Rhinolophus ferrumequinum: one gene and its partners. The protein of the gene in region 4 purifies or fractionates together with the protein of the main gene of each other region. This does not show direct contact. Links are inferred from orthologs where the notes say so. Each region holds a gene or a part of one and is shown on either strand. Other genes may lie near its edges. The genes, in order: FBXL15, GLMN, FBXL5 and CUL1.

Region 1 (6,495 bases), on a different chromosome or scaffold from region 4:
TGGGTTTGCTAGGGGTGTTGAATGGATACGAGTATCTTCTGGTTTCTGCTACTCACTGCCTGATTCCCCGACAGGCCCCCAAGAAGCTAATCCGATACATTGACAACCAGGTAGTGAGCACCAAGGGGGAGCGATTCAAAGATGTGCGGAACCCTGAGGCCGAGGAGATGAAGGCCACATACATCAACCTCAAGCCAGCCAGAAAATACCGCTTCCATTGAGGTGTTCGCCGGACTCTGCTAGAGCCTTCTAGGCTCAGATCCCAGAGGGATGCAGGAGCCCTACACCCCCCCACAGGGCCCGCCCTAACTCCTGATCCCTTCTCTTACCTCCTTGCCCCACAGTGTTAACCTCCTCTTGGAGCTGCACAGTAAAGGTGGCCCCAGAAGATGAGTGCATTCTGGTCATTTCTGCTTCAGAGCTGGGGTGTTGGGGGACTGTGTCTGTCTGACCTTCTCTCCCAACCTCACATCCCCTATCTCCAATAGGGCAGCAGCGCCAGGCAGGAGGGGGTAAAAAGCTCTTTATTTGAAGCTCCAGGGTGGGGCAGGGCTTTGGCCTTTCACCAGAGGCCCCCACAATCCAGTTTCCCTGCAGTTCATAGTCAGGCCCCGTCACACAGTCCAGCTGTGCCCCATCCGCGGGCGGATCAGACCTGCAGGTTGACAAAGGGTGCAAAGCCCGCCATATCCTGCAGGAGCACTAGGGCCTGATGCAGCGGCGGCTCCACGTCGATGTCCACCCCGCGCTTCCGCAAGCGGCTCAAGCTGGGCTCCGCCACATGGTGGCAGTGCCGCACCCGCAGCGAGCGCAGTGCTGGGCAGTACTCGGCCAATGTCCTGGGGGAGGAGCGGGGTAAGACTAAGGGCATGAAACCGCTCCACCCACGGTGAGCAAGCCAGCAAAGCCCGTCTCCCTCCATCTCAGGGCATACTTTTTTCTTCCATACGCGACGGAGGGATCTGGAATGGGGTCATACACTCAATGCCTCCAGTGAAACGGAGATTTACTGTCCCTTAAATGGGGAGCTGCTGCTCCCCTGGTTGAAGAAAAGCCAGAAATCTGACTTTGTACGTGAATACTGCCAATGTGTAAATACTGGTTCAAAAAAGTTTTTAAACTATGGGCTCTCTGGTGTAGACAATCCTAGAGGTCTTTCCTGTTCAGAATGGGGGTGCCATGGTAGCAGGAAGCTCCAGAAACCGCAGTTCTACCGCTTGCCCCTCCACCCAGAGGCTAAGTGCTTGCTCTCCTCCCATCCCACCGACCCCAGGCCCAGGCACCTGACGCCGTCGCTTCCAACGCGGAGGCAGCCGGTTAGGTCGAGGTGCTCGAGTTCCGGGCAGTTCCGAGCCAACTCCTGGACCGCGGCGTCCCCCACATTGGCGTTGACTGCCAGCGAGAGGCTGCGGAGGCCTGCGCCGCGCCTCTGCGCCAGGTACACGATGGCCTCATCCTTGAGCTGACGGCAGGCGGTGAGGTCCAGCTCCTCAAGGGCCGGACAGCGGTCGGCGAGACCACGCAGCGCCAGCCCGTCTACCCAGTCACAGTGCGCGAGCGACAGGCGCCGCAGGTTAGGGCAGCCCTCCGCCAGCGCCCCCAGCGCGCGGCGGCTCAGTTGCCCGCAGCCGGCCAGCGCCACACTCCGCAACTGCGGGTTCCGCGCCAGCACCGGCACCAGGTCCTCGTCGGACAGCCATTCGTGACACGGCGCCAGCGCCAGCTCCTGCAGCCCCTTCGCGTCCCGCAGCATCCAGGCCAATGCGGCCCGCGGGATCTGCGGACCCACCTGCGGGCGGGCAGGCACCTCGACTCTCAGCTGGTCCCGGGGCGGGCGCTGCCTATCCACCCCTGAGGAGTTCTTTCCTAGCAGCAGCCTGCCCTCGGGGACCCTCCACCTGCCCTCCCAGGATAGACCCTACGTGCCCTCCGAATTGATACCCAGTACTCGCCCCTTAGAGTGCTTCCCACTGGGTGGAGCTCTTCCTGGGCATTCCTGGAGACCCAAAGGGGTCGGGCAGAGTAGACAGAGGGGCTGGGGGCTGGGCTGGAGGCGGGGGCAGTACCCGGCTCACCTGAGCGGCGTCGAAGCGGCGCAGCCTCTCCAGGTACAGCTGCACTAGGGCCCGGAAGGCTCGGCTGACGCGCTGCAGCCGGAGCAGCTGGCACAGCGGTACCCGGCTCAGTACGTGTGGGAGCAGCACGTCTTCCCAGGGCAGGTCCAGGAGCCTGCGGGAAAAGGGGCGTTGGCGGCGGCGTCCCTTGGCCGCTGTTACCTGCGAGTCTGCCTCCGTTATGCTCCTGCGCCTCGGTTGCTAGGAGCGGCCTCCAGGCTCGGCCCTGGTTCAGTTCCCCTTTTTCAGGTCCTTCCTTCTCTCGGCCCCTCCGGTGCTCGGTACCTGACGGCTCCGGGCTCTCGCTCCCCTCCGGACGGCTCCATCCGTGGCTCCATCGGCTGTCTATTGCGCGTGCGTAGTACGGTCTTCACGCTTTGGCCTAGGAGCAGCCGCCGCGAACCCGCCTCCTTGGGCTGTAGTGACAGACCGATTTAATCGAGTGCCGTCTCACTGAGGATCCTATCTGAAAGGATGGATCCTGAAATTAAGGGCGGAACAGACCGGTGGTGTAACATTAGATCTCGCCTTCTCCGCTGCAGAGCTTGAGAGCCGAGGCTAGAGAATGCGACGGTGCAGCACAGACAGGCTTCTTTTTTCGTTTTGGGCCAGTGATTGTCTCTGAGTCAAGTGGTGATGGGAGGAGCAGGCAAGGCCAAACGCAGAAGGGGCGGAGCTAGGACTCCAAGGTTCTGGGCCTACCCCTCTGCCCTCTGGTCGCTTTTACTGACTTTGAAAAAAGGGGAGGAACTATGCAGCCTCTTACTGTCTGGCACGTAGTAGGTGCTCGATTAATTGTTGAATTAATTGAATGGGCGAAGCTGCAATTTTTCTTACTTCATCAAGCAACTTGCCCAAACCTCCCATTTCTAGTTAATTGTGAAGTACAGAGCTATCCAGCCCCTTCCGCTACCGGATGATTAGGAACGGATTTACACCTTGCGGGTAGAAACGTAGGGGGCCCTAAAGGGCTGTATCTCCAGCCGGGTTTCTTTCCTTCCCCAGGAGGTCTAGAGTCCAGAGAAGAACGCATGCTCAGCCTTCCAAGAGTACTGCTTCTCGGTTGGCCTGGGGGTTTAGTTGTGGGGTCTGGTTCTGGGCCACCCTGGGGCAGTGACACCCCAAAGCTCTGAGCGCAGATTCTGCGCCGCCCTCTCACCGCGTGCCCAGGTCTTGGTTCCTGGGTCCAATCCGGGGGAGGAACCCCTAGAGCACTGCTATCTCCATCCATCGGTGGCCACGGTGTGAAGGATGCCTAGAGCTACTGCTGTCGCAGAAAGCTGGCTCCCAGCAAGGTTGAGCTCTCCCTTGGTGCAACCGCTTCACCTGCCTCTTCATAACGAAAACTGCTTCCCATTCATTATCAGGGCTTCCGGCACCTCTGCAAGGTGGGCAGGTCTGTGCTGTCACTCCACTTTACAGATGAAATCAAAACCCTGGAGAGGAAGCGCCTTGTCCAGGGCCAAGCGAGTCGGGATAGAGAACTCAGGTATCCTGGTTTTCCCAGAATTCTTTCCAAATTCCCCCGTGCCCCAATGCAGCGAGAAGAGAGAAGCCAGCAGCAAGGAAGGACCAAAGAGGGTCAACTTGGTTGAGGGACTTGCTCCTTCTTCCTCAGCCTGCTAGGGGAAGGGATAGCTGGAAGGATCGACCTCTGCTAAGAGCCACGTGGGCGCGCACCACCTCGGGCCGCGCGCCTTCTCCCCCTCCCCTGCTTTGTTAGCGCCTCTGCGCCTGCGCAGTGCGACAAATCTGGCGCTGTCCCCTTCAGCACCACGCGGAGCCCGCGCCGCCCCTCCCCGCGGTGAGCCCCGTGCGCCCCCGCCTCGCACGTACCTCGAGCCCCCTCCCCCCCGACCAGACCCCTTCTTCCTTCCGAGGTCACCATCTGCTTGCCATAGCTTTCCCAAGGAGAGCAGTTGCCATAGTGACTCTAGCGGCGCTTTCTTAAAATAATCGGGCCCCCTTTTACCTTGGCCAAGGGCACAAGGGTTGCCTGTCCCCCACTTCCTCCAGTCCCAGCCTCATCCCGCGTAACCTCTTACCCTCAGACGGGCGGGACACCTAACTCAGGCAGCAAGGAAGTTCTTCCTGAAGTCTGACTAATATCCCACCTATGGTCAGGGTTGAGTGTCCTGGGTCCAAGACTCAGAACCTGGAGGCTTTGAGGCAGTGTTCCCTAAATCTCTCTCCCATAAATTGATGCTCTTCTGGATTTAGGGGATGGGTCCGGTCTACACCCATACCGTGTGCTTGGCGCGGCCGTGTGCTCGTGGGGGCGGGAGCGCCTTGTGGCATGTAACAGGTCATGTGGCAACCTCCTAGGGACACGCGTGGGGTCTGCAGCGGGACACGCGTGAGCAACTGGGTCCTGTGTGTGGCTCACGGGGCGGTGGGCGAAAGGGACGTGGACACGATTGGGGTGGGGCACGTGAAGATCCTGGGAACATAATCAGGGGCTCCATATGTCCTCCCCTTCGTCAGGGGCAGGTCTCAGGTTGGCGCGAGAGCCCAGCGGGGACCTAACGTCGAGAGGGGGGGCAGCCTCCGGGGCCCAAGGCCCTGGGAGAGGCCGGGGGTGGGGGGTGGGGGTGGGATTAGCTCTGCGGGAGCCGCGCGTAGGGGGGAGGAGGAGGGACTCAGAGGCGGGCGGGCCTGGAGAAAGCGGGAGCAAGCGGGAGCCGCGCTGTCTTCACAGCTGAGCCTGGCCCAGCCTCTCCTTTGCCTCCTCGGCCCCAGCTCCAGGCGAGCAGCGGTGAGTACTGAGGCGGCTCGAGTCCGGGCTGCACTGGGGATACGCTGGGCCCCAATGAAGCTTCAGGAATCTGTCTGGGTTGCTGCCCCTGACCTCTGCCCCTACCCTGCATTGCCACCAGAAGCCCCTTTACCCCTTTATGGTCCCTCCTGGTCTGGACAAGATCTGTTATACCCTTGGCGGGGGGAGGGGAAGAGGAGGAGAGTGGTCTGGTGCAGCTTCCCCCTCCAGAGGCCAGAGACTGGTGGGGGTTGGGGGAAAGGGTGTGTGTCCCTGCTTAAGTATGTGTGTAAATGTGCATCTGTGTTTGTGTGTGATTGTTACCAGTAGGTCTCTGTATCTGATATGCCTGTGTGTCTGTGCATGAGAGAATGAAGGCTTGTGTGTATATTTGGGTATCTCTTTGTGTGTTCCTCCTGTTTGATGACAGTGTGTGTGTAAAACAAGCATGTGCCTTTCCATTACAGGCATATTTGTTATGACCATGAGAGTGTATGAGGGTGTGTCTTTGAGCAATGTGTGTGTGTGCCTGTGTCTGTGTGCGCTGGAAGGTGTAACCTGTGAATATGTTTAACTGTATACTGACATATTTGTCCCTAAGCATGTGTGTGTGCGTGATTATGTGTACCTGTATGGAGAACAAGAGTGTCCCTTTCCTATTCAGCATGTATGTATTAGGGGTAGTGACCTCTGTTTAGGCCTTTTTCCTCCCCTTCACCCTATGCCTCTCAGCTCCTCATGGTCCCTATATAATCCCTCTTCTTTCCTCTCCTTCCAGGGGGCCTGAATTGGGGCCTCCAAGAGAGGGACTGTGGGGGACTCATGGCTGTATGATAGTGATGGATGGCTGACACTCTTGGTTCAGAGGGCGGGGTACTTGCCTTCCCCCTCCTCCACCAAAAGTAACTCCAAAATGCCACAGGGACTCTGGGCTCACTCAACTTCTGAAATCGCTTCCTCTGTCCTCCCGGAGTGATGCTCAGGGTCCCCAGGCAGAAGGAGAGGATCCAGGGTCCTGTTAGGGGGGACAGTTCGTTTCTCCTCAGGCCTCCATGGAAGAAGCCTAAGCAGGAGGCCTGATCACCCCCAGGGCTGGTACCAATGATGACATATTCTCAGAGTGGGCTAGTCCCCTAGTGCTCAACAGCCCCAGCTGGCTTTCCCCTCCTCTCTGCTCTCCTGCCCATCCAACTCCCCAGCAGTTCACTCCCTGCTCCCCTTCCTCTCTTGCAGACCTGTCTGAAGAGCATGCTGCCCCCTCACTCCCCGCCTGGCCTCGCCATCCCTGCCCCCCCAGCCTGACCCCCGGCCCCAGCATGGCCCAGGGTGCCATGCGCTTCTGCTCGGAAGGCGACTGTGCCATCTCCCCGCCACGATGCCCGCGCCGATGGCTCCCCGAAGGCCCCGTGCCCCAGAGCCCCCCAGCCAGCATGTATGGCAGCACAGGCTCCCTGCTACGACGGGTGGCAGGTCCCCGAGGCCGGGAACTGGGACGTGTGACAGCACCCTGTACGCCCCTGCGTGCCCCCCCCTCACCCCGTGTTGCTCCCCCACCCTTGGCACCCTCTTCACCCACTGGGCAGCCCCCTCCAGGGGCCCGGAGCTCCGTGGTCATATTCCGCTTCG
Region 2 (8,009 bases), on a different chromosome or scaffold from region 4:
CTTTAGGAAACTTCTCTTCTTAGGTAGCCGTTTTCTGTTTGGGATGTTTCTACCCTCTCAGAGGCTAGAAACCTAGCCATCTTTGATGTCTCACTCTCTCTCACCCCCACAATCAATGAGTTCCCTCTATTCTACTCTAAACCTTCCATGCAAGTGCTACATCGTGCTCACTGGAGGCAGAGCCGAGTGGATAAAAGTTCTAAAACCGAACTGCACAGGTCTGAATCCTGGATGCCGCATAAAATCTGTTACTTTTGGGCAAGTCACTTATCTTTCAGCGCCTGTTTCCTTATCTACAAAATGAATTTAACAGTAGTACATCATGGGATTCTGGAGAGGCTACATGAGTTAACAGATGTAAAGCACTTAAGACAGTATCTGACACATAGTAAATACTCAATAAATATTAGCTATTATTAATTTTATTATTACTAGCTAAAAGTAAGGTACTTTGAAAGGTTATCCTCTGAGAATGCAATTGGAAAAAATCAAGGAATTAAAGAAAACATTAAATTTACTTTATTTTGGGCTACAAAGGTACCATAAACACACCAAAAACAAATGTATTAAACAAATGTCCTAATTTTTCTAAAAATATTTTCTTAAATAAAAAAGGGATTGGCCCTTTAAACTACTAAGAGAATTTACAACAATGTGTGATTTAAAAGTTTTAGTAATTTCCCAAACACAATAAAGGTATCCTGGATATAATCACTGACCAGCACGTCTAGATTGTGATAGCAAGAAAGAAAACTTCTGTAGAAATAAATAGCACCATAAAGGAAGAAAAAGTGTGTCCTGGAAAAGAAGATGCTCCTCCTTTGTACAAGAAGCGGAGTCCAAAGACACAAAATTTGGCAGTGTTGCCAACATGTTTCTGAGAAAAAGCTGTTTCTGATCCTCAAAAGATCCTTTCCCATCGCAGAGAATGATTTATCAGACATTCGTAGCTGGATCATATTGGCCAAGTCATTCAGCTTTCCCGTTCTGATTTTATCTACTCAAAATATTATATACCCAAAATGTTATCTTACTTAATATTTGGTTTTCTATATACTTCTGGCTGGAGGAACAGAATGTGCAATCACCAAAAATTAATACCTAGCCTGCCTGATACTTATATTTCTCAAGGTAAATTCGTGACCCAAATGCTACTTGTGATGGTTCAACCAGATGTAATCCCTGCTCTCCTAAAGCACTTTACTTATACTTCAACTATAGCACTTATTTTATTCATTCTGCCTCCTTAATGCTAGTTGTTTACATGTTTGTCTCTTCCACCAGACTGTGAGTACCTTAAAGTATATAGTCCCAATTCCTTTTTTGTTTCTAGTTTCCTCCTGTGGAAATTTAAGTTAGTTGATTCTTAAATGTTTGATGGATAATGAATGGATGAATAATAGCATCGTGTGGATATTCTCTTCCAGGTAAAGGCTGAAAAGTTTGCACAAAGATTATACTTACCTTATTCTTTTCATTCTGAATAATTTCTAATAGCTGGTCTATGTGCCCTTCATCTATGCATCTTTGTCCTGCTAACTGAAATAGACCAAAATCTTCTTCTTTGAAGTCTCGCTCTTCTAGGATTTGCTGGCAAACAAACAAACAAAAACCAAACATGTTTAGGCAAATAAAAATTCAATAATGACTTGATATATTTTCTCTCTGAAAAAAAGGAAATCTGTTTAAATTGTAGGTAAGTTACACATAAACATACGTATGAAAATTAGGATTAGCCTAATAAATACTTTAGTGAATGATCCTGAAATCCACTATATCAAAGAAACCTTTAATAAGGATTAAGATTAAAAATTTTAAAGGTTATTTAGAAAAGTATGTCATTTGGAGAAATAACCCAATTGCCTTCCTGCCCTATCACTATTTATACATAGGTCAAAAAAAGCAAGGATTAAAGAAGATAAACAATTCGAGTGACTACAAATATAATTAAAAATAATCTATGCCCTTCTCATATTTTGAAAGATATTTAACTTTACAAAAAGAAAAATTACTTACACATCTCTTTATTACGGATTGAAGTTCCTCCACAGCCATTCCTCCTTATTTTTCCTAGCTTTGAGACTGAAATGTACTAACATAAAACACAGTTAACTATCAGAAATATTACATTTAAGTATTAATAAGTGATATTTCATTCTGATGAATTTTTAAATACAATAAAGAAAATGTAGTTTTAATGCTGAAATGCTACTACTAAAAGTAGTCTGTTAACCTAAGAAAAGTTTATTTAAAAAAAAACTATTGCACCTTTTCAAGTTTTCTTAAACACAGCTTTGCTTAGTGTAGTTTTGAAAGATACATCCGAAAATAAAAACCTCTAGAGCACTCCCAAAAGGACGGCAAATAGGGACTACACAAAGTGCATTGAAAAGGCAAAGTGTTTCATTTCTGAAAACATTTCCAAAAGGTGGGCCTAAAATCAATTCTAATCAACAGGGAATTTCTCATTTTTTAATGTCCTACTTGACAAAAATTGAAGTCAACACAACTCACCCAGAATGGGTGGAAGTTCAGATGCCCTCCAGCCCCTGTGTGACCAGGACATTTCCCTTAAGAAATGAAGTACCCAAAATAATCAATCCAGTCAGTGAGATCAACCGGCGGCGCTCAGGAGAACCCCGTTCCATTCCCGCTGGCCATCGTTTCTCCCAGCTTGAAGGCCCGGCACCAGCTCCGCAGGAAGGGCGCGCGGGTCCGGGGGTCCTCACCGCAGCGCGCTCCAGGGCGGACAAAACCCCAGCGCGCGTGCGGGCGGCATCCAAGGGAAGCCATTTCTCCTGATTCCTGCTAGTCGTGGCGCTCGGGCCTCACCACTTCGCCGGGCCTAATCGGCCGGCGGCACCGCATCCTCCGCGGCTCAAGGCCCGCCGCGAGCCCCCGCCGTCCGGGACCTCCCGCTGCGTCCACTTACCCGCCAGGACTCTTGCCCCTTTCAGCGTCCTCCTCCACCTCCTCTTCTGGCCGCGTAGGCCGCTCTCCGAGCCCCGCCCCACTCCGGTCGGCCCCGCCCCGCGCTGCGCAAGGGGAGGCGGAGCCTCAGGGGGAAACTCTAGGGTCGGACGCGATAGTCGGACGACGCTCTCCATGGCTGAGTCGGCCTGGCAACCCTCCGCGGGCCGCAAGGCTGGGGCCCCGCGCCCCCGCCGAAACGCCGCAGGTAGGCAAAAGAGCCTCTTTCCACGTTTTGACCCCGAGAACTGAGCCCCTACAGGGTTCTAGATTAAGGCGCGCGGGGTGCTCCCGAAAAGCTTTCTCGGGGGTGGAGGTCTTCGGGGACGGAGAAGGCCAAGAGCTTCCCACCGCCGTCCTCGCGCCCCCTGGGAAAGACCTTCGGCCGAACCCCCAAATCTTTACACTAGCGTTCCAAGATTTTCCCCCAGATGGCCTCTGAGGGAAAGGACAGTAGAGTTCCTGGAAGCCTAGAGCTGGAGTCGCCAGAATGGGCAAGTGAGCAGGGCGGCATCAGCCAGCGGTGTGCGGCTGCCGGTGAACCTCCCATCGGTCCTTCCATTTGTCCTGCGGCTTTGGTGCCCCTGTTCTCTGAGGTATTGGAGAATCACCTCCCTTCTTGCCAGGGAGTGAACATTTGAGGGCCGGAGAGAGGCTTCCCCTAAAAGTACCCAGATTTCAGATTTTTCACGAGTGCTTAAGTATGCATCTATGATACAGGAGAAAATTCAATCCCGAAGGAGATACATGTTAACCAGGAAAAATTTGGGAATAATTAATTTACAAAAACAAATTGGATTCCCTTCCCATTTCATTTTAAATATGTGGAAAAGAAGAAAAGATGATATACAGTTTATTTGGGCAGGAATCTGTTCTATAACCTAATGTGTGCAGACTTGACTAACTTTGTTTTTTAATTTTAGGTACTAAACAGACAGGTGCTTTGAAACAGCAAGATGCTTCTAAAAGGTATGAAAACTACTTGGACAACTGCATTCACTTAGCTGTTTATCTCATATTAATTGAACCATTTTTAAAAACAATAATGGGTGCTACCTTAGAGAAATTTATTATGAGAAGGGGAAGATCTGAAAGCACTATAAATTCTCACATAGACAGTTATATCCCCCTACTCCATGCTTTAAGAAAACCAAATCAGACATTTTTAGGTTGCTGGTGAAGGTGTATGAGTATCTGTAGAAAGGTGTACATGGGAATAGACGTTCCTGAATTAACCAAGTACTCTTTTTCCACCTCTTTGTATACTCCTTTTTTTGCTTTATGTGTTAGAGACTCCAAGAAGCCTTGTCTGTCCCATGTTTGTATCATGTCCAAATTTTCAACAAGAAGTTGTCCTGTATTGTCTCTTGGCTTCTAAAAAGACAAGATTTATCTTCTGTCACAAAATGTTTCTAGAGTAGGAGTAGTCTGAGATGATTAAAAAATACATACCTGTGATACATCATTTTATGAAGTGTTGGCTTTGTCTTAATTCAATTAATCTTTCAAAAATATTTACTGAGTGTAAGATATACCAGACTTGTATTAGGCCCCAAGGATATGGTTTTGAACAGAATAGACATAGTTAACTAGTTGAACAGAGAAATACCAATTAAATTATCAAAAATAGATATATAATTACAAATTGTAATAAGTGCTGTAAAGGAGGAGGAGTAACAGGAGTCCAGGTTAGCTGGAGTTTTGTGGGTTTTTAGGGAAGGACTTTTGAGAACAGAATAAGCTGAGTCCTGAAGGCTAAGTAGACATTAATCAAAGAGTAGTAAGGAGAGACCTATAGTCAGAAGTGGGAGTACGTGTGACAAGAAAGGCACGGTCATTTAAAGAAAGCAGAGATGCCCAGGATGATGTGCCAGCATTCTGAGCAAGGGAAGTAAGGAGCATAGGAAAAGGTTAGAGAGGCAGGATTCCATTCATATAGACCTAATAGGCAATGGTGAGAAATTTAGATTTTCTAAGTGCAAATGGAAAAACTTTAAGTAATAAAGTAATGGAATTTAAGTTTAAAAAGTTTTAAGGTGTTAGGGGAGGTGATCATCTGGGAATGGAGAAATTGGATGAATTGGAGATCTGTTTTGGAAAGTACAGGCATACCTGGGAGGTAGTACGTGTTCAGTTTCAGACCACCACAATAGAGTGAGTTTAGTTAATATTGATAATGATGGTAATTTGCAACTTTCTTCAACACTGATCTGACCACAAACCTGAAGAGATTATATTTTATTTTGAGCAGATCATTCAAGATGATGAAACAATTAAAAATCCATGGGGTAACCAAATAGTTGTTGAGGGAAACGATCCTTTATAAATTTATTCCAATTGCAAAATACTTCTATATTCAATCCAAATGAATAGTTTTAAGCCAGAAATTAAAGAACTTTGCAAAAATATAAAATAATTCCACTATTCACACTAAATATTTTATTTTAATTTTTTATTGGGGAATATTGGGGAACAGTGTGTTTCTCCAGGGCCCATCAGCTCCAAGTCGTTGTCCTTCAATCTAGTTGTGGAGGGTGCAGCTCATTGGCCCATGTGGGAATCGAATCAGCAACCCTGTTCAGAGCTCGCACTCTAACCAACTGAGCCATCTAGCCGCCCCGACACTAAATTTTTATTTCAAAATGTTAACATGTAAATTGTATATTATTATTAAATGAATTAATAAATAAATGGTTTAAAATTTTCTCACTTTTAATCCTACTGTGGTAAATATAATGTACATAAGCAAAAGCTCGAATTTTAAAAGTACCAGGTCTGCCAGTTAAGTTCGCGAACTTGCCACTATGCACTTACATTGGCAGCATTGTACAAAGAGCTCAGTAAGGTTTCATAACTTTAGTATATCAGTGTCTCACAGCTGTGTTCATGTCGACGTGTGGCGGTGTCTTGCTAAGTGGCATTCATTATTGTTGTTGCATGTTTTTGTGTGCCATCTCGCGAATGTCTGTGCTTGAATTAGAGCAATGAACAAACATTAAATTTCTCGTTAAATTTGGAAAGAGTGGAAGTGAAATCAGGGACATGTTAGTCGAAGTTTATGGGGATAATGCTATGAAGAAAATTGCAGTGTACAAATGGATTAAATGTTTTTCTGAGGGGAGAGAACGCGTCACTGATGAAGAGAGATCAAGGCGGCTAGTAATGAGCAGAACTGATGAAAATATTGCAAAAGTTCATCAAATTGTGCATCAAAATTGTCAGGTGACTGAGAAGCATAGCAGACCAAGTAAACATCGATAGAGAAACAGGAAAATCTTAACTGAAAATCTTGGCATGAGAAAGGTGTGTATAAAAATGGTCCCAAAGGAGCTCACCAATGAACAAAAGCAAAGGAGAGTCGATGTTTGCCAAGACCTTTTGGAGAGGCAAGACGATGCTTTAAGCCGTGGTATCACTGGTGATGAAACATGGGTGTACCAATACGACCCTGAAGCAAAGCGTCAAAGTGCACAGTGAAAGTCAGCCAATTCTCCATGACCAAAAAAGTTCCGTCAGTCCAAATCAAGAGTCAAAATGATGTTGCTAACCTTTTTTGATATCAGAGAGATTATTCATTATGAATTTGTACCAATTGGACAAACAGTTAATCAAGTTTACTATTTGGATGTGCTGAAAAGGCGGGTGAAAAAGTTAGACGAAAACAACCTGAACTTTTCGCCGACAATTCATGGTTCTTGCATCACGACAATGCACTAGCTCACACAGCACTGTCTGTGAGGAAGTTTTTAGCCAGTAAACAAAAAACTGTATTGGAACACCCTCCCTACTCACCTGATCTGGCCCCTAGTGATTTCTTTCTTTACCTGAAGATAAAAGAAATATTGAAAGAAGCCATTTTGATGACATTCAGGACATCAAGGGTAATATGACAACAGCTCTGATGGCCATTCCAGAAAAAGAGTTCCAAAATTGCTTTGAAGGGTGGACTAGGAGCTGGTGTCGGTGCCTAGCTTCCCAAGGGGAATCCTTTGAAGGTGACTAGTGATATTCAGCTATAAGGTATGTAGTAATTTTTCTAGGATGAGTTCGCGAACTGAATTATCAGATTTTATATAAAGGAATTCTGAGACCAAAAAGTTTGAAAACCGCTGCTGTATACCACACTACCTATTCATTTCAGACATCGTTTCAGACAGAGGGCAGCTGTGAGACAGGGCTATCCATAGGAAGCAGCTGTAGGTATCCATCAGTTAAGAGGAATGTGGCTGTTATTAACTCTTCAATCAGCAATCCTAATGCAGGTTGTACACTGATCTTAGTATATGACATAGCTTTTATTGGTAGGCAGCAAAATGAGAAAAATTTTTATAAAGTTAAATATAGTCAACATAAAGAACTGCCTTTTAGTGTGTTCATGCCTTGTACTTCTTTGATATAAGCATGGCCTTTATGGGAGAACAGGTGTTAGTTATAAATTTATTCTTGTTTTAATGTCCCTCTTTGTTCCTATTTGGCAATCCTGTGTCAGTCCTCCAAATTGTTTTTGTAAAACATTGCTCCAGGCAAGGAATTGGCTTGAAGGTTTTAGAAGTCAGTGAAGGTAGGGAGAAAAGGTGTGTACCTTCTAGGTTGAGATATGAGTACCAAGTCAAGGTGCAAGAGGCCAGCAAAGGTTGTTCTAGTAGGCAAGTAGAAACCACTGCAGACAAGGAGGAAATACATCACCAAGATAGTTGGTATCTGTGGTCCTATGGCAGTGATTTTCAACCCTGTTTCACACTAAGATTATCTGGAGAACTTTCAAGAAAACACCAATAACCAGGCCCCATACTCAGAGATTCTGGTTTAATGAGCCTGCAATGGGACCTGTGCATAGTATCTTTTTCTAAAAATCTCATCAGATGGTTCTAATATACAGCAAGGATTGAGAACCACTGTCCTAGGGCCATTGTTTGATCTGGTAGGCTGTGCTTTTTGTGTTCTATAATGTATGAGGCAAGCAAAGGCTGACAGAGACCCATTGGTGCCAGGCAAGGACCCACCCTCCTAGGAAGATTGCTGTTTTTCTAAACCACAGT
Region 3 (7,867 bases), on a different chromosome or scaffold from region 4:
TTGCAATTAGTACTGTTGCTAATGATTATATATAATCAAACATTATTTTCCTTTAATAGAATTTTTAAAGATTTAAAATTTATGGCCCAAATTCTTTTAAAATGTATTATTATTAATGAATTTTTATAACTGTAAGAGCACTAGGTGAACATAGTAAAATACTAAAATTGTACCATATTTAAGTACACGGTACTGGGATGGTTCTGCTTTCCATCCCGGAACCCCTGCTCACAATTTTCTGCTGTGTTATTCTAGAAATATGTCCACTTTTTTTTTTAACACAAATGAGAGCATATTTAACAAAGTGTTCTATACATTATTTTTTTACACTTAGTAATACTTAGTTTCACAGTAAACAGATTTATCTTATGTATTTTACCAGATGCATATTTGTCCATTGAATGAATGTGCTATAATTTAATATCTAGTATCCTATTGAGGGACATTAGATGTTTTCAATTTTTTGGTCATTGTGCAAAAGTAAGTTTTATTATATTTTCAGTATTTAAATTTATAAAAATAAAGTAAGGGATTTAGGCAAACTGCAGGCCTACATATATTTGATTTTCAGAGGTCCATTTGCATATAAAGTACCCTAAAGGAAAATGAAAAAAAAAAAAAAGGCACGTAGCATCTGGCATTGCATTTTAACTCAGTGCCTACGCGTATTTTTTCTTTTTATGATGCCATCACCCTACTAAAAACTTTACTGCTAGATCAAGCTAGCCCTGCTGTAGCAGTTGCTGATTGGCTATTTTGACTGACTCAGGATCAAGTCTGGTACTGAGTTAGGACTGGAATTCCAACTGTTTTACAATAGCAACATTCTTTCATTGCTTGTTTTCACAACTAACCCCCTGTTGGGGAAAGTGCTGTAGCACTACTCAAATAAACAGAGTTAAATGCCTTAGAATTGACTTTCCCTGACCAGCAACCCTTTCCACAGCCCTGAAACTAGGGTTGGAAAAGAGGCCTCATGTCATATTTTTAGGTCACAAGGGAATGATTTGGCATCTTTTGTTTTTCCCTGTAGCATGCAGTTTTTCAGAGAGAATGAAAGCAGGAAAGAAGGAGCCATCAATCCACTAGGCATCATACAATGTGGATTTTTCACTGCTCTGTTCAAATGCCTTATCCAGTCTCCTTGTGGTGGCCAATAGTTAGATGGCCTGCTAGGATTCCTTTGCTGTTGTATAGCATAAGAAATCAGAGAGGTAATTAAACCGATAACCTTGGCCTTAATAACAGTTCCTGATCTGCTGTAGTTGCAGTAACCTACAATAATGATACTAAACTGATCAATGTCTTCTTTCTGGGGCTAACGTTTAATGTAAACCAATCATTTATCTGGATATATCAGGTTATTAATTGCTACATTACTCAGCATATGGAGCTAATATTAACAGCTTCTTTCGAAGGGAAGAATGACCCACAGGACTTATTATTTATCACTTTATTTAATTTTGTCATCTTAAACAAATTCCCTGAAATGGCCAGAGTCCAACGTGGCTGTTATTACTGTTCAGCTGACTACACAGATTCAGATTTTAAGTAACACTGAAACTGTGTGCATGGCTTTTTTTGTTGTTAAATACCTATTTAATGTGCCTGGTTCTAGGGGGTACACTAGACACAGACAACACAGACACAGACTGGTATTGGGAAATAAAACATGGTGTATTAAAAGTTAGTTAAAATTAGGAAATTATAGAATGCCATGAACTGCCCTCATTCCTTCTTTCTTTATTCAACTAATATGGAGTGGTAACTGTTGATAGGCATTGTTCTAAATGCTGAGGATAAAACAAAGTACATGTTCCCACGGAGTTCATTTCTCTATATAATTGGACCACCTGAGGTCTGATTCTACATTCTAAGACAGCTGGAGTGAAAGATCAGAATGAAAGAAAGAAATAAAGGGAAAATAAGGAAATGTCCTCTGGGGGATATTATAAAACATTGAGGCAAAGCCCTAGTGAAAGAGCAGAGTGTGAGAAGAAAGGAGAATAGGGGAGAAGAGAGAGAGAGAGATAGAGAGATTAAGGACTTTATCTATATTCTATTAAGCATTATTTCTGTGTGTAAATCCTCATCTCTGTCTCTCACACAACTAACACAGTGCTGGGAGGATATTGTTGAACCTAGATTCATATGGCCCGCTTATTTAGTAGTTTGTTGGACCCTAGGAAATTACCAGAATGTCTTCAAGATTTAGTTTCCTACAGCACCACCTCACAGACGTGTTTTTTGTTTGTTTGTTTTTTAATAATAGTTTACAGACATCACTTGTCAGGTACTCTTATAAGCAGTTCAAATATATTCATTCTTAATCGTCACAACAATTCTGTTGCTCAGACTGCTATAACAAAAATACCATAGTCTAGATGGCTTATAAAAACTGAATTTATTTCAAATAATCATTGGAAATCTAAGATCAGGGTACCAGCATGGTAAGGGCCCTCTTCAGGGCTGCAGACAGCAGATTCCTCCTTATGACCTCACATGGTGAAGAATAGACGAGGGAAGCGAGCTCTCCAGTGACTCTTACAAAAACCATCCATCATTAGGGGTCTACCTTCATGACCTGATCTAATCCTAATCACTTCCCAAAGTCCCACTTCCTAACCCCATCATATGGAGGGGGTAACTTTGAACATAAGAACTTGAGGGGGACACAAACATTTAGTATATAGCAGTATTACCTCCATTTTATATATGAGGAAACTGAGGCACAGGTAAGTCATGTAGCTTACTGAAGGTCATATAAGTGTATCAGGCTAAACCAGAAGTCTAACTTCATCTCCAGAGCCTGCTTTTAACTACGGCTCATATTGTCCGTCAATAAATGGCACACAGTAAGATTAGAAATAAACAGACACACTCTATTGCAAGGTTCTTTCTCATCTTCTTCTACTCCATCATTTATTGGATATTTATCAAACCCCTATGGTGTCATGGAACTGTGATAGGCAATGTGGATATAAGGGGTAAACAACATATTTGGTTCTTGCCCTCCTGGAATTTATGGCCACTGTCAACTGAGCACAAAGAGTCAGGAGGCTCTGGCTAGAAATAAATAGCAAAGATTTATTCGAAGGTCTTGGGGTTTGCAAACCAGCAACACAACTAAGCAACACCTAGAGTATTGCTGAAGAAGTATCTTCTGAAGAAGAAAGAAAAGCTGAGTTCTTACTGAGTTCTTATAGTAAAAAGTACATTCTTGAGAAGAATCAGTCCTGCGTGCTTAGCTTCTGGATTGGTCCCACATTGTAATCTTCCAGATGTCTGGTCTGAATAATGGATGTCAGGTGGTCTGGACAGTGAACATCCTTTTCTAAGTCCTTCATGGGGTAATCAGAGGGTCATCTATGGGATACACACACACACACACACACACACACACACACACACACTCCTACCTTGTTTTATTGTGCTTCGCTTTATTGTACTTCACAGATGTTGCATTTTTTACAAGCTGAAGGCAAGACCCTCCAACAGCAAAAAGATTATTTCTCACTTTATTGCAATATTCGCTTTCTTATGGTGCACTGGATACAAACCTGCAGTATCTCTGAGGGGTGTGTGTGTGTGTGTGTGTGTGTGTGTGTGTGTGTGTGTAGCTCAAGGCATAACGGGAGGGTTCAAAAGTTTAAGTTCCCAGGCTAGTTAAAACAAAAATAGAATGTTTCCTGCCTCAGCCCACTTGATTTTAGTAAATTGGTAGCTTGACAATAGTGACTCCATTTTATTTCTTCACTCTTACCTCACGATTAAGCAGGAACATTAAGCAAGTAATCCTACCCAGGTTCTCAGACTTCCCTGTTTTCTCCCATTTCTTTGTGTATATTAGTCCAGCCAGTGGGGGTTGATCAGGGTGAGTGGTGTCCATCACAAGGGCTCCCTAGGTCTCATGGAGGGCTGGGTTAGGGACCAGGTGACCTGTGGGGAAGCGACCTAATTGAACTTCCTCTTGGCAGTGTGATCTCTTTAAGTATCCTTCTTTCTCTCTGAGCCTGCTTAAAATGGAGGCACGTGTACCAAGGTTCTTTCCGGTACTAACCTGTGATTATTCACCCCCCAACCCCCATCCTTAACCTGGCATTGCAGGCCTTGGGGTGCCTTCCCGCCTCCTTAATACCCAGGAGACGTTTTTTTCTCTCCTTGGAGTCTCCAGAATTGCATGCAGCCCTTCGCCCCAGAAACGGTTGGAGATGTTGGTCTCCTTGGTTTCCGCCCTGTCCCCAGACCCAGACCCTGGCGTCTGCCCAGAGCTGCCAGCTAGAGCTGCCGGCTGGAGCCGCCAGTGTCCGTCTTTGTCACGCGTCGCTGTTTCCCGGTAGGCGGCAAGTTCTTGGAGCCCCCAGTCCTAGTTCACCAATCACTGGGGCCTTTGACCAGCGGGTGGGAGCCCAACACCCGGGAATCTCAGGGAGGCAAAGGGCGGCTCAGGGGGGCCTCAGTCACGCACAGCACAGTCCCCCTGGCACACGGGGCGTCTGGGTCCACAGCGCCCAGGTAAAGCTCTCCGCCCGACTGCGGGCATTGTGCTCCGCCGCCTCGGCCTCAAGGCCTGGTGGGTGTATCGGCACCGAGAAAAGCCCTGAGAGCGCCCCTAAAACGACACCCCGTCTCCTCAGATAATGTGTTTTACGTTGCAAAACAAACAGGTAAAAGACTTGGTTTCTTTCTGCCGCACAAGAAGAAGCCAAAGAATGAAAATAGTGGAGGCGGGAGACGCCAGTGCGACCAGCCGCCGCGCACCGGGTCACGTGGGTCGCGGGGACCGCATGGCGGCGGCCCGCGCGTCCCCGCGTCCCGACTGGCCCGGCAGCCCGGGCGCGCGCGCCGACGGGGCGGGCGCATGCGCAGGGGGGCGCGCCGCCTCTGCCCCGCGGCGAGGGTGTCTATGGAGAGGCGGCGGCCGCGGCTGCTGAGGCGGAGGCTGAGGCAGCGGCGATGGCGCCCTTCCCCGAAGAAGTGGACGTGTTCACCGCCCCACACTGGCGGATGAAGCAGCTGGTGGGACTCTACTGTGACAAGGTAACGGTGTGCGGGGCCTCTTGCTCTGGGCGGCGCGGGCGGAGAGGAGGAGCCGGCCGGGTTCCTGGGCGGCCAGGCCTGCGCCACTGCCGCAGCCCCCGGGACCGCGCCGCACGAATTGCCGCCTGCGTAGCTGTCAGCGCCGCGCTCTCTATCCCACACTTTCCCCGGGGAGCCCGCATCCCCGTCCGGCCGCCAGCCTCCGACGTGCCCTCGGGGCTGGCGGCGCGGCCCTCCCAGCCGGGGGGGCCTAGCACCCGTCGCCCTCGGGGTCGGCTTCTCGCAGGCACGCTGGGGCTCCAGCTGGTGCCCCCTTCGGGAGAGGGGCACCTTCGCTCTCCACTGACCTTCGGGGACTCCAGGTCGGTCGTCACCTGCGGTGGGCTTTCCATCCGCCGGGGTAAGGCCGTTTCCGCAGTTGTTCCCCGCCTCCTCCATCACCAGTGCCCCCTGCCCTACCCACGGCCGGTTTGGGGTCTCCCTAAGTCTTTTTGCAATTCCCATCTATCCTTCTGAACCTCTAGCTTGCCTTCTGGCCGAAGGGGAAGGAACTACCTCTAGCTTATTTTATGCCCCAGCTTTTTACTGGTTTGATTTGGGAGAAAACCCAGGTTTCTTGGTGTAGGAACTAGCGAATCTTCACTCTTCCTTTGTGGTTATTTTTTATCCTTGCAACTTTTACTGTCCTGAGCATATACTCCATGCAGATTTTGTTATAAGACATCTGTTCTCCGTGGGAATTCCTTATGTGGGCTCGAATAAAAGGGGCCTCAGAAAAAGTTGGTTTAACTGTCATAACCTTTTTGGATTCTTAATTGGTGCAACGTAAGCTGAAAAAGCACTTTTGTGGACATAGTTCAGGGCCTTTTGCTGATGATTCTAAAACAATATGAAGATTTCACATTTTTGTCAATTTATGTTGGGGAAAGTCCATATGGATAGCCTGAAAACTTCAGGCAGTTCTGTTTCGTGTAGAAATGAACCAAATAAAAAACATTTAAATAACTATAGTTTAAGCACAGAATTAAACTTCAATGAATTTTCAGAAAGTAGATAGCATTAAGCAGAACCACTGTTAAGAGACGAGAGGTTCCTACAGCCCATTGAGGTGGTTGGAGGATGGCCGGTGTGTTCATTGTTACAGGCTACACTCAAAACCAACAATGTAAAACGCACCCACAACTATCCTTTCCCTTCCTCCATTTTGAAAATTAAAAAATACCTGGTTCATATACAGGTTTAAACACGGCATTCTAGGACAGTGGTTCTTAACCTTGGTTCCTAGTTAGAATCACCCCAAAAGCTGTCCAAAATCCTGATGCCGGAAAACCACTAAAATCAGGATCTCTAAGGGTGGGACCCAGGCATCAAGTACAGTTCACGCGCTGCATAACAACTTTTCGGTCAACTGGGAACAGCATATACAACCTTAGTCCCGTAAGATTATAGTGGAGCTGAAAAATTCCTATTGCCTAGTGACATAGCTGTTGTCCCCAGTGCACTATTCACTCGTTTGTGGTGATGATGCTAATTTAAACAAACCACTTGCACTGCCAGTTGAATAAAAGTATAGCACATACAATCCTGTACAGTACATAATACTTGATAATAATCTACTGTGTTACTGGTTTATGTATTTACTATGCTTTGTATCGTTATTTTGGAGTGTACTTTTTCTACTTATAAAAAAATCTTCTGTAAAACGGTATGTCATGTTACGCCACATTTCTCTTGGTGGCATTATTTTCTCTTGTGCTTGATTTAATCTTGTATTTAATACAAAAACAGGCTTGTAGACTAGGAGTCATGGGGTATACCATATAGCCTAGGTGTGGAGTAGGCTATACTTGGATGGTGTATCTACGTTTAAGTACCCTCTTCGATGTTTGCACAACGAAATCGCTTAATGATGAATTTCTCAGAACGTATCCCCATTGTTAAAGGGCACATGATTGTGTAATTTAAAACTCCCTGGATGAGTCCAGTGTGCAGTCAAGGGTGAGAATCACTTATCCAGGAGAAGCATCGAGAATGGGTAACCCATTAGTTAAGCTGAATAACCCCGAATTTTTGTAGTTTACTGTAGTGTTTTTATAATAGTTCTCTGGCTTTTGAACTTAGTTATTCTGACAGTATCCTTTAATTGCAGCAAAGAAAAAAATTGGGTGGTTTTTTGTTTTCTCAAAATCAAAATGGGAAAATTAGTGAGGACTACTGGAATCTGAAGTCTTCTCTCCATTTTAGATTTGGCAAGAGATAGTCTGGGGACCACCTGAAATTGTTATGGAAATTTTTCCCTAGGAGGTTTGTGATTTTCATTAGATTTCCAAATGATTGATTTTCTACCACAATAGTTAAGAATCGCAACTTTTATTTAGTTATGTACTAGACTCACCAACCAGCCTTATTGTAAATTTTGAAGAAGCTGATCACTAATTCCGTATGTCATTACCTGGTGATTGAGAACATTCGAACAAGTTTTGAAAATACAGTGCTGTTTTAAAAAACAATATTGGAGTCAAATAAGATTATTTTCAGTAGTTAAATGTTTCCTCTCGCATTAACTAGGAAGCATTTTCAATTTGACATAGCATAAGGGAGAATTATCACTAAATCTGAACTAATTAGATGTAGTTAATGAGATTTTGTATATATTCATCAAGAAGATTAAGAGTCCAATTTTCTGAACTGTGGATCAGAGACCAAGGTGATTTAGGGAAGAAGAAAAAAAAAACAACTGCAAAGGAATTCTACATCCGGATTTCTTCTTGATACTACTAGGTAATGGAAATATCTCCTAGTATGTCCTTTGGGAGCTAGGGTGGAA
Region 4 (7,491 bases):
TACCGGGAAAAAGAGCTCGGTCTTTTTCTTAAAAAATAGACAAAATCTACACCTTAAAACCAGCTGGGGGTTAGCAAATTCAAGTTTTAAAACTTGTTTTCTTGGCACTTTCCTGGATTGCAACAGCTCAAGAAAACCTGAGCGTTTTTTCTGTTGGGGCCCTCTATTGGATACTGGAACACTACAATAAGAATTATAATAAAACTTGCCTCTTTTTTGTTTTTCTTTTCTTATTCTTTAAAGCTTGCATTCTTTATTAACCAGTGTAAGTGCAGTGATTATTCTCTGCAGCCAAAATCAGAAGTGGTCAAACATTAGGTTGGAATTTTTCCAGAAGATTTACTCCTTCAAAAAACAACTGAGTTACCCATGACCAAGTCCTATGCTACTTTGGGGATGCAAAAATAACTAAGGACGATCCCCTCCCTTCGAGGAACTCATAGTCTGAAATGCACGGGAGACAATTAAGACACAAGATAACATTCAGTAAGAGGCAGAGGAGTCCAAGAAGCTGTAATAGCTAAGGAAATTGCAGTATCAGCTCAGGCATTCATTTGTCCCTTGGTCCTCTTGATACTTTATCTGATAGTACATTAGGAGAGGAGGGGCATGCTTGCAAGGACCTGAGCTTGTGATCTTACACAAGGAGGGTGGATTTCATAAATTAGCTAAAAGTTCTAGTATAGTTAAAGTCTTTTTTTTCCTTTGGCAAAATAGTTTTTAAAAGATTACACCAATGAGAAAAAAAAAGTTGAAACATTTTTAGAGAATAATTCAGCCAACCTTCTTAAGCTTAATGAGCACTCCTGAAACCTCCAAAAATGGTCATAATAGAATTAAAGGGAGCCAGTCCTGTGTTTGCAGCTTCGGAATGTGAAATGTGATGCAACGATGTCCAATTGCCATAGAAAGCAGAAACAGAACTTTCAAGTAAAATTTTTTCTAATATCCAAGAACCTTTTTTAACAAACAAAAAATCTCATATCCTATTTTTTTCTAAACCCAATGATTGCTCTTGCTTTTTAATCATTCTCCTTTGCTACACAACACACAAACTCTCCAGGGTTTCAGAAAGTCAGATGGACAGGGTGGCCACAAAAGGGAATGTTACACTTAAGATTGCACACCCATCTGCTGAGTGTAAAGATATGTTTAGGTCCTAGAAGCTCAGGGCTTAAAGTAAAAGTGACTTTAGTTCCCCTCTGTCACCCAATAAGTGCCTTTCAAAAACAGCGTGACCATTTACTCGACTAACTTGGACTGTTTTAATGTCACCCGGGGAAGACCCATTACACAGAGCAAATAAATACCTAAGTTAACTGCAATTCCGTATTTGCACGCTAACCACTAACCCCAATTACGAACTAAAAGCAACAGCAGCCATCCAATCGGAAAACAGAATCCTATTTTCGGCACAGGGATCGCTAGAGAGAAAACCCTTAACTTTGGAGATTCGTCTCCAGGAACGCTCATAAAGCATGTGCCTTTCTCTTGACCATCATCGTGTCTACAGTGCGCCGCGCTCCCCAGGTGGCAGAGAGCGCCCCGGGGCCGCGCGCGGGTTACCTGCTGGGTCAGCGCGCGCTCCCGCCGGGCGCAGGTTCGGGGGCGCGCCGAAGCCGCGGCGCGGGCCCGGCCCGACGCGCGAGCGCCGGGGGGCTCCGTCCGGTCCCGCGGCTGCACTCGCATCCCTGCGCGCCTACCCGGCCCGTTCCCCCGAGGGAACGGAGCAAAACGACGACTATTACCCAATAATAGTGACCTGCACAGTCGCAACAATGCAGGCGGGGAACCGAGAGCCGCGGGCAGGGAACCGGAAAGCAGAGCGGCCGGCTCCGCGGCTCCCCCGGCGCGTGAGCCCACTACTTATTGGCGAGCACGAGTCGGGGGAAACGCGACGCTCGGGGGGGAAGCGATCCCGAGGGGAAAGGGCACGAGGCCCCGTGGGGGTCGCCGCACGAGGGGAGGCGAGGCGCGCATGGCCGAACTGCCCAGCGCCGCCCGCCGGCCCAGCTCTGCAGCCCCAGCCCGGTCGCGGTGGGGAAAGAGGCTGGCGCCACAAGGCCGCCGGCGCCGGCGCGATGAATCGGGCTTTTTCCCAGTGCGTAGTCCAGGCCTGGCCGCCCCGAGCCCGCGTCCGGGGCCGCGGCCCGGCCAGGCCCGAGCCGGCCGCCGTGACTCAGGGCCGGCCCCGCTCGCTCGGCTCCCGCCCCCAGCGTCCTCCGCCCACGAGTCCCCCTGCCCGGCCGCCATTCCGCCCCGCCGCGGCTCGGCGACTCAGGCCTCGCCCGGCGCCTGGGCTCGGCCGCCGCGGCCCCAGTCACTGCGACACCGCGGCTCCGGGCCGGGCCTGCGCCGCCCCTCTCCTCGGCCCCGGCGCCGCGACACTCACCCGCATGTCCCTGCTGCCGTAATGGCCCCGGCGACGTCTCCACCTGGTCGCTGGGCCTGGGCCCCGGTTAAATCCCCGTCCCGCCAAGGTCTGGCTGCGTCCCTGAGCCGCCGGGGCTGCCCCGCCTGGAGCTGCGTGCGACACGGCTCCCGCCTCCTCCTCCTCCCCTGCCCGCCCGCGGCCCTCCTCCCGCCGCCGCCGCCTGCACCGCGCAACCTCCGCCCTCTCGCCTTTCCTCCCCGGCTCCCCGCCCTCCCGGCCTCACCGGCTCCGGCTACCGTGGGGGAGAGGCTGGGGGGGGAGGGCCGGAACGCACCGCCATCGGCGTCCGGGGCGGGGGAGCCGGGAAACCGTCGCCGCCATCTCCCCACCAGCCCGAGCGCGGGAGGGGCCCGGAAACCTCCCGCCCGCCGCGGCCACTGCCCCGGGGTCCCCCGTCCCGCGCCGCCCGAGGCTCCGCTCGCCTGGGGGATCTCTACCTGAAAGCCGGGGCCCCTTGCCCGGAACCCCGCGCCGTCCCGGGCCGGGCGGACCGGGTCCTCCTCCAGGTTTTACAGCCTCCCTCGACAGCGGGCCGCCTCTTAACGACCGGCTTCCCGCCACTTCCGACCCAACGAGGAGGGGTCACCGCTTTAGGTTCGGGACACGGACCTCTGGAGAAAGTGGCCCAGTACACCCCGAAGGAGAGGGTCCTCCACCTCCTCCTGCGCACACACACACACCCGGAACCGACTTGGAACACGGCTACAACTACACCCAATCAACGTGCCTCCCCGGACCGGGACTATTACCAAAGAATATCCCCGGCTGGCTGATGAGACCGGCGGAGATGGGCAAGTGGCTCTGAAAAGCAGGCGCAGACGTCGGAGAAGCGTGTAGTCCGCTCTGGAGCCCCTGTTCACCTGAGGCCTTAGCCATCAGCACCTGAAAGCCTGAGCTTTTCTGAGCCTCATTCTCGCTCCTTAGAATCGGTTCTAAGATAAAACTATACGACGCTTCCCGCTTCAAACTTGAACCAACTCTTTGGGGGGGGAGGGGGCAAATGTTGACAAAGAATCACTTTACCATTACTCTTTGTAAAGACAAATCAAGGATAGAATTTAAGCATTTACATAAAAGGATGGCATGAGGTGTGACTAAAACACTATCTTTTCCACGTGTAGTCTGAAGTAGTTAATTGCATTCACTTGAAATTGAACTGTCACCGTTGGGGACTTGGAATACTCTAAATACAGACTTTGGCAGCACCTGGCTTGCTACGGTGCCAGAGAGAAAGCATGGGCCTTGGAGTACCATGGTTCACAACATGCCAGAGAGCTGGCTAATTGCATGAACAAGCAAGGAAGGATTTCAAATGATCCTATCTGGGCAAAAGACACGATGAGTGGAACTTCCTCTAGTTTAGTTTTGCTCTAAACTAAAACAGTACAGATATTCTGGTACACCTTGGGGTAGCAATCCTAGGCCCTGAGCAGAGGGCCACCCCCAGAGTCCAGTTTCCTGAGTCACATGGGCTTCTCTTAGGAGACATGTCCCACCAGTATATGTGGTTCCTCCTATTGAAATGTGGCCTATTGTCAACATCTGTTAAATATCTTCAGAAGTGTTGCGTTGTCTGCACTTGTCACCAAAGTATGTAATCTCAGTCTGTGCAAGGATGTACAATTCTTGGTTTATATCCTATACTTCTATACAACCTAGTCAAAAGAAAATTTAGATGTATTGAAACAACTTTGTTTATGGGCACATGGTAAGACTAGATTGAAGGTAAAAATGGAAGACTTGTTCCTGTGGACAGCGCTTTCCACAGAACATATATGGCTTTTTTTATATCTTCATTTCTTCGCCTATTGGAACCTGTGCTTTCCTCAGACAACAACTTACCTCCATCTTCCCTAACCTGTCTTCTCCACTCTCATCATTCAATATGGTCTCCCTGTCTGTGACTTCCCACAGTTAATACACTAGTTGAGTGGGTCAGCGTTCCCTTTACTATTTCTTTCCGCCACCTTCTATTTTTGCCTAATGGCAGTATTTAGTCCACTTGTGCCTCCACTTCTCACCACCTCAATTCCTGGTTCTTAACGTCCTTATATCCCCTCCTCTCCACCCGTCTACATCATCATTCTTAGCAATTAGACTGTTCCACTGACTTTTATGCACTTCACAGCCAGGTTGCATCTACACTACTTCCACTCTGGGCGGATACTCTTGCCTCGTACCTGATGGATCCAGGGCATCTACTTTCCGCTGCAAAACCTCTTCCCTCCATCTTTCTCCGCCATCATAGCAAAACTGATGTCCCTTTTTAAGATGACCACAGTTAGGAGGGATCATTAATTTGATAGATGTCAGAATCAAAATGCAAAATAGTCTCAGATTAGACTATTTAGCCAAAACCAGTGAAATAATAGAACTTTACAAGTCCCAAATGATATGATGAAGTTCAAAAAGCCAAGTTTTAGATTTAGGCAGACTTTGTTTTATACTCAGACTCAAACTACTATCTTTTGCTCTAGTAACTGTTAAATAGGGATAAAAAGATCTACCTCCTAAGTGAAGAGTAATTCCTTTATAATTCCAGCATAATTTCTGAAAACTCACTGTTAGTTCCCTTTCTTTCCTCACCTACCATTAAGTGGTGGTCCACTGACTCCCCTACTGCTATTGATAACACTAACATTTTCTAAGTCATAAGGGCCTGAAGACTCCAAATCCTGACCCACTGACCTTGCATCCCAGAGCTAGTCCCCATCATAGAGAAGTCTTTTATTTTGTCTCAGTCTGGGTGGCAGACATCATCACACCCATTTTCCAATGAGAAAAACCTAAGACTTGGAGATGTTAGACAATGTGCTCCAAATCACTCAGCTTGGTCAGTGACATCACCTGACTCCCAAATCGGCATATATCCACTCCTGTACTATGATATTTCCCCACACCTATATTGTTTCTTTAACCTTCTGAGTAGTTTTCCTGGTTCTGATCTCTGCCCTTCCAGCCGCCTGTGCAGTGACTGACTGCAGATGGTTCTTTCCAGTGACCTTCATCATTGTATCTTTGTCCTTTGAAACTTTTCAGTGGCTCCCCATTGTTTACAGGGTTCAGTCCAAACTCTGACTTGGCACTACCATAATAATCTTGTCCTAACTTACTTTCCCCAATTTATTTCCAGCCACTTTCCAAAAGGATCTCTCAACTTCATCTAGGTCTATTGGGCCTACATTTGGCCTACAGATAACGGCTTTGGATCGCCACTTATGAGTGCTTGCTGACATTGGTTCCCCTAACAGAAATAGTTCCCTCCTCCTTTCCTGCATCCGCAAATCATGCTCCTTTTTCCAAATCCAGCTCATGACCCCTCCTAGGAAGCCCACTTTGCACCTTCTACCCAGGTTTTGTGATCTCTCCCTGAGTACCAGCTTCTCCTACGTGCCTTCTATGTGCCTCCTGAAGTTGCCTTCTGCGGATCTGTGCTTTGGGCCAGGCACTATTTCCTAAAGTACACCAGACCCCTCGGCATTGTGCCTGAAGAACACTGAAGAGTGTCCAAACATATGTGTTTACCAATGAAGTGAAAGGGTACTGCGTCACTTGACTAGCCATATGAGCTGTTATTTCTAAGACATGAGTAAGGAACTAGCTATCCCGTGCAAAGTAAATTCATTTGATGCGATAGTTCCCAAACCTGTCTTTGCTTCAGAATCACCTGGGGACTTGAATTCTGATTCCAAGGCCCATTCCAGATGTACTGAGTCAAAATTGGGTGGGAAGGGGTGGGGAGGAAACCTGAAACTGCCAGAGTTTATATCCTGGTTTTACTATTTATTACCTGGGTAACTGAGCAAGTTACTTAATGTCTCAGTGCCTCAGTTTCTTCATCTATAAAATGGGGATGATAATAGTATCTCATATGCTGTTGCAAATTAAATACTTAATAAACATTGTGAAGATGATGATGGTGATGATATAATTACCCAAGGTCAGTCTGGTGACCTGAGTTTGGGAACCATTGATTTAATGAACCACTCCTTCTGTTAAAGTTTTAAATGTTATGGCCTTAAAACTTATGGTATTAGCATTATGACATATTACAATAAGACTTATTTGTTTTGAAATAGTGTATGTTAAGGAAGAGGATCCAAGTAAACAGATTTTTCAATTAAATTTGTTTTTTTAATCCAAATCATGCAATATATATTATGCGGGATTTTTTTTTTGCAAAACTAGTTTCTCTTAGAAAAATAACTACACATATGCTATAACTATACAGAGTCATTCACAGCTTAGTATTCAAAAGATGCAGGCAAGAGATGAAATAATACCATGATTTCTTTCACTTAGGACAATGAGTCATAAATTCTTTTTGAAGGAGCAGGTTTTTAAATCCTCTACTTGAATTCGTTAGAAAAAACTTTCAAAGCTCCTTTTGGTCCATCAAATGCCAAATAAACAATATTTTAATGATGTTAAATGTAACTAGATATAAAATAGGAAGCAGAAATTTACTTACCAAAGTCACTAAATATGTATCGATGGGGAACAGAGAATGGGTAGCCCCACCTTCTGAACTCTTGATTTATAAATGGCCTATACAAACAAATACAGAAAGGGCTTGTTTTTAACAGCTTGAAATTAACCAGATTCCCTGTATTCTCTCTTAAAGACCCAAATAGCTCTGGGAGGGTAAACAGGGCTTAAGTGTCATTTACACATCAGCATTAACTAATTCAGTCAGGTTGCCTGCTTTCTAACACAAATCAGCTCTTAAAGAATGGAGAGTTTGGGGTAATTCAAGTTGGGGAGAACCCTGAGGACCTCAGGGGAGGCACCGGCCTTGGTTGGGTCAGAGGATGTAAGGAGCAGAGCAGTTAGCAAAGGAAGGGAATGAGGGAAGAAGAGGGAACGATTTAAAAATCTAATCTGTCCAGTTTCAGATTTTGCATATTGAGAAGTCATAAGCCTCTTGCTTTGGGGACCCATAAGACAGAAAACACTGTTCTAAGATAGTCATGAATTAATGAAGCTTTTGAGGTCTGCCCTGGGCGATCTGCACACCCTTGTAATGTTCTATTAGGTTGGACCATATGGAATTGCAA

What was found.
Region 1: the proteins of CUL1 (region 4) and FBXL15 purify together in Homo sapiens (affinity purification with mass spectrometry; 9 studies listed by BioGRID and IntAct, counting the BioPlex papers as one, with this or other methods). This does not show direct contact. The link is inferred for Rhinolophus ferrumequinum from reciprocal best matches to the Homo sapiens genes CUL1 and FBXL15.
Region 2: the proteins of CUL1 (region 4) and GLMN purify together in Homo sapiens (affinity purification with western blotting; 4 studies listed by BioGRID and IntAct, counting the BioPlex papers as one, with this or other methods). This does not show direct contact. The link is inferred for Rhinolophus ferrumequinum from reciprocal best matches to the Homo sapiens genes CUL1 and GLMN.
Region 3: the proteins of CUL1 (region 4) and FBXL5 purify together in Homo sapiens (affinity purification with western blotting; 11 studies listed by BioGRID and IntAct, counting the BioPlex papers as one, with this or other methods). This does not show direct contact. The link is inferred for Rhinolophus ferrumequinum from reciprocal best matches to the Homo sapiens genes CUL1 and FBXL5.

The regions. Positions count from the first base shown.
Region 1 is NC_046299.1:22,595,788-22,602,282, forward strand, and holds FBXL15 (F-box/LRR-repeat protein 15), read right to left. Parts: upstream 2,590-6,495; 5' UTR 2,453-2,589; coding exon 2,400-2,452; intron 2,230-2,399; coding exon 2,076-2,229; intron 1,790-2,075; coding exon 1,284-1,789; intron 840-1,283; coding exon 650-839; 3' UTR 506-649; downstream 1-505. Other genes in the region: CUEDC2 (CUE domain-containing protein 2), read left to right, coding at 75-221; PSD (PH and SEC7 domain-containing protein 1), read left to right, coding at 3,366-3,603, 4,813-4,869, 6,103-6,495. UniProt on the Homo sapiens protein: Substrate recognition component of a SCF (SKP1-CUL1-F-box protein) E3 ubiquitin-protein ligase complex which mediates the ubiquitination and subsequent proteasomal degradation of SMURF1, thereby acting as a positive regulator of the BMP signaling pathway.
Region 2 is NC_046292.1:69,720,775-69,728,783, forward strand, and holds the start of GLMN (glomulin), read right to left. Parts: upstream 3,016-8,009; 5' UTR 2,588-3,015; exon of another isoform or gene 2,515-2,587; intron 2,093-2,514; 5' UTR 2,056-2,092; coding exon 2,017-2,055; intron 1,591-2,016; coding exon 1,465-1,590; intron 1-1,464. Other genes in the region: putative RNA polymerase II subunit B1 CTD phosphatase RPAP2, read left to right, coding at 3,106-3,178, 3,894-3,939.
Region 3 is NC_046288.1:78,682,104-78,689,970, forward strand, and holds the start of FBXL5 (F-box/LRR-repeat protein 5), read left to right. Parts: upstream 1-4,863; 5' UTR 4,864-4,956; coding exon 4,957-5,040; intron 5,041-7,867.
Region 4 is NC_046309.1:4,750,918-4,758,408, forward strand, and holds the start of CUL1 (cullin-1), read right to left. Parts: upstream 3,014-7,491; 5' UTR 2,872-3,013; intron 2,768-2,871; exon of another isoform or gene 2,658-2,767; intron 2,557-2,657; exon of another isoform or gene 2,393-2,556; intron 1-2,392. UniProt on the Homo sapiens protein: Core component of multiple cullin-RING-based SCF (SKP1-CUL1-F-box protein) E3 ubiquitin-protein ligase complexes, which mediate the ubiquitination of proteins involved in cell cycle progression, signal transduction and transcription.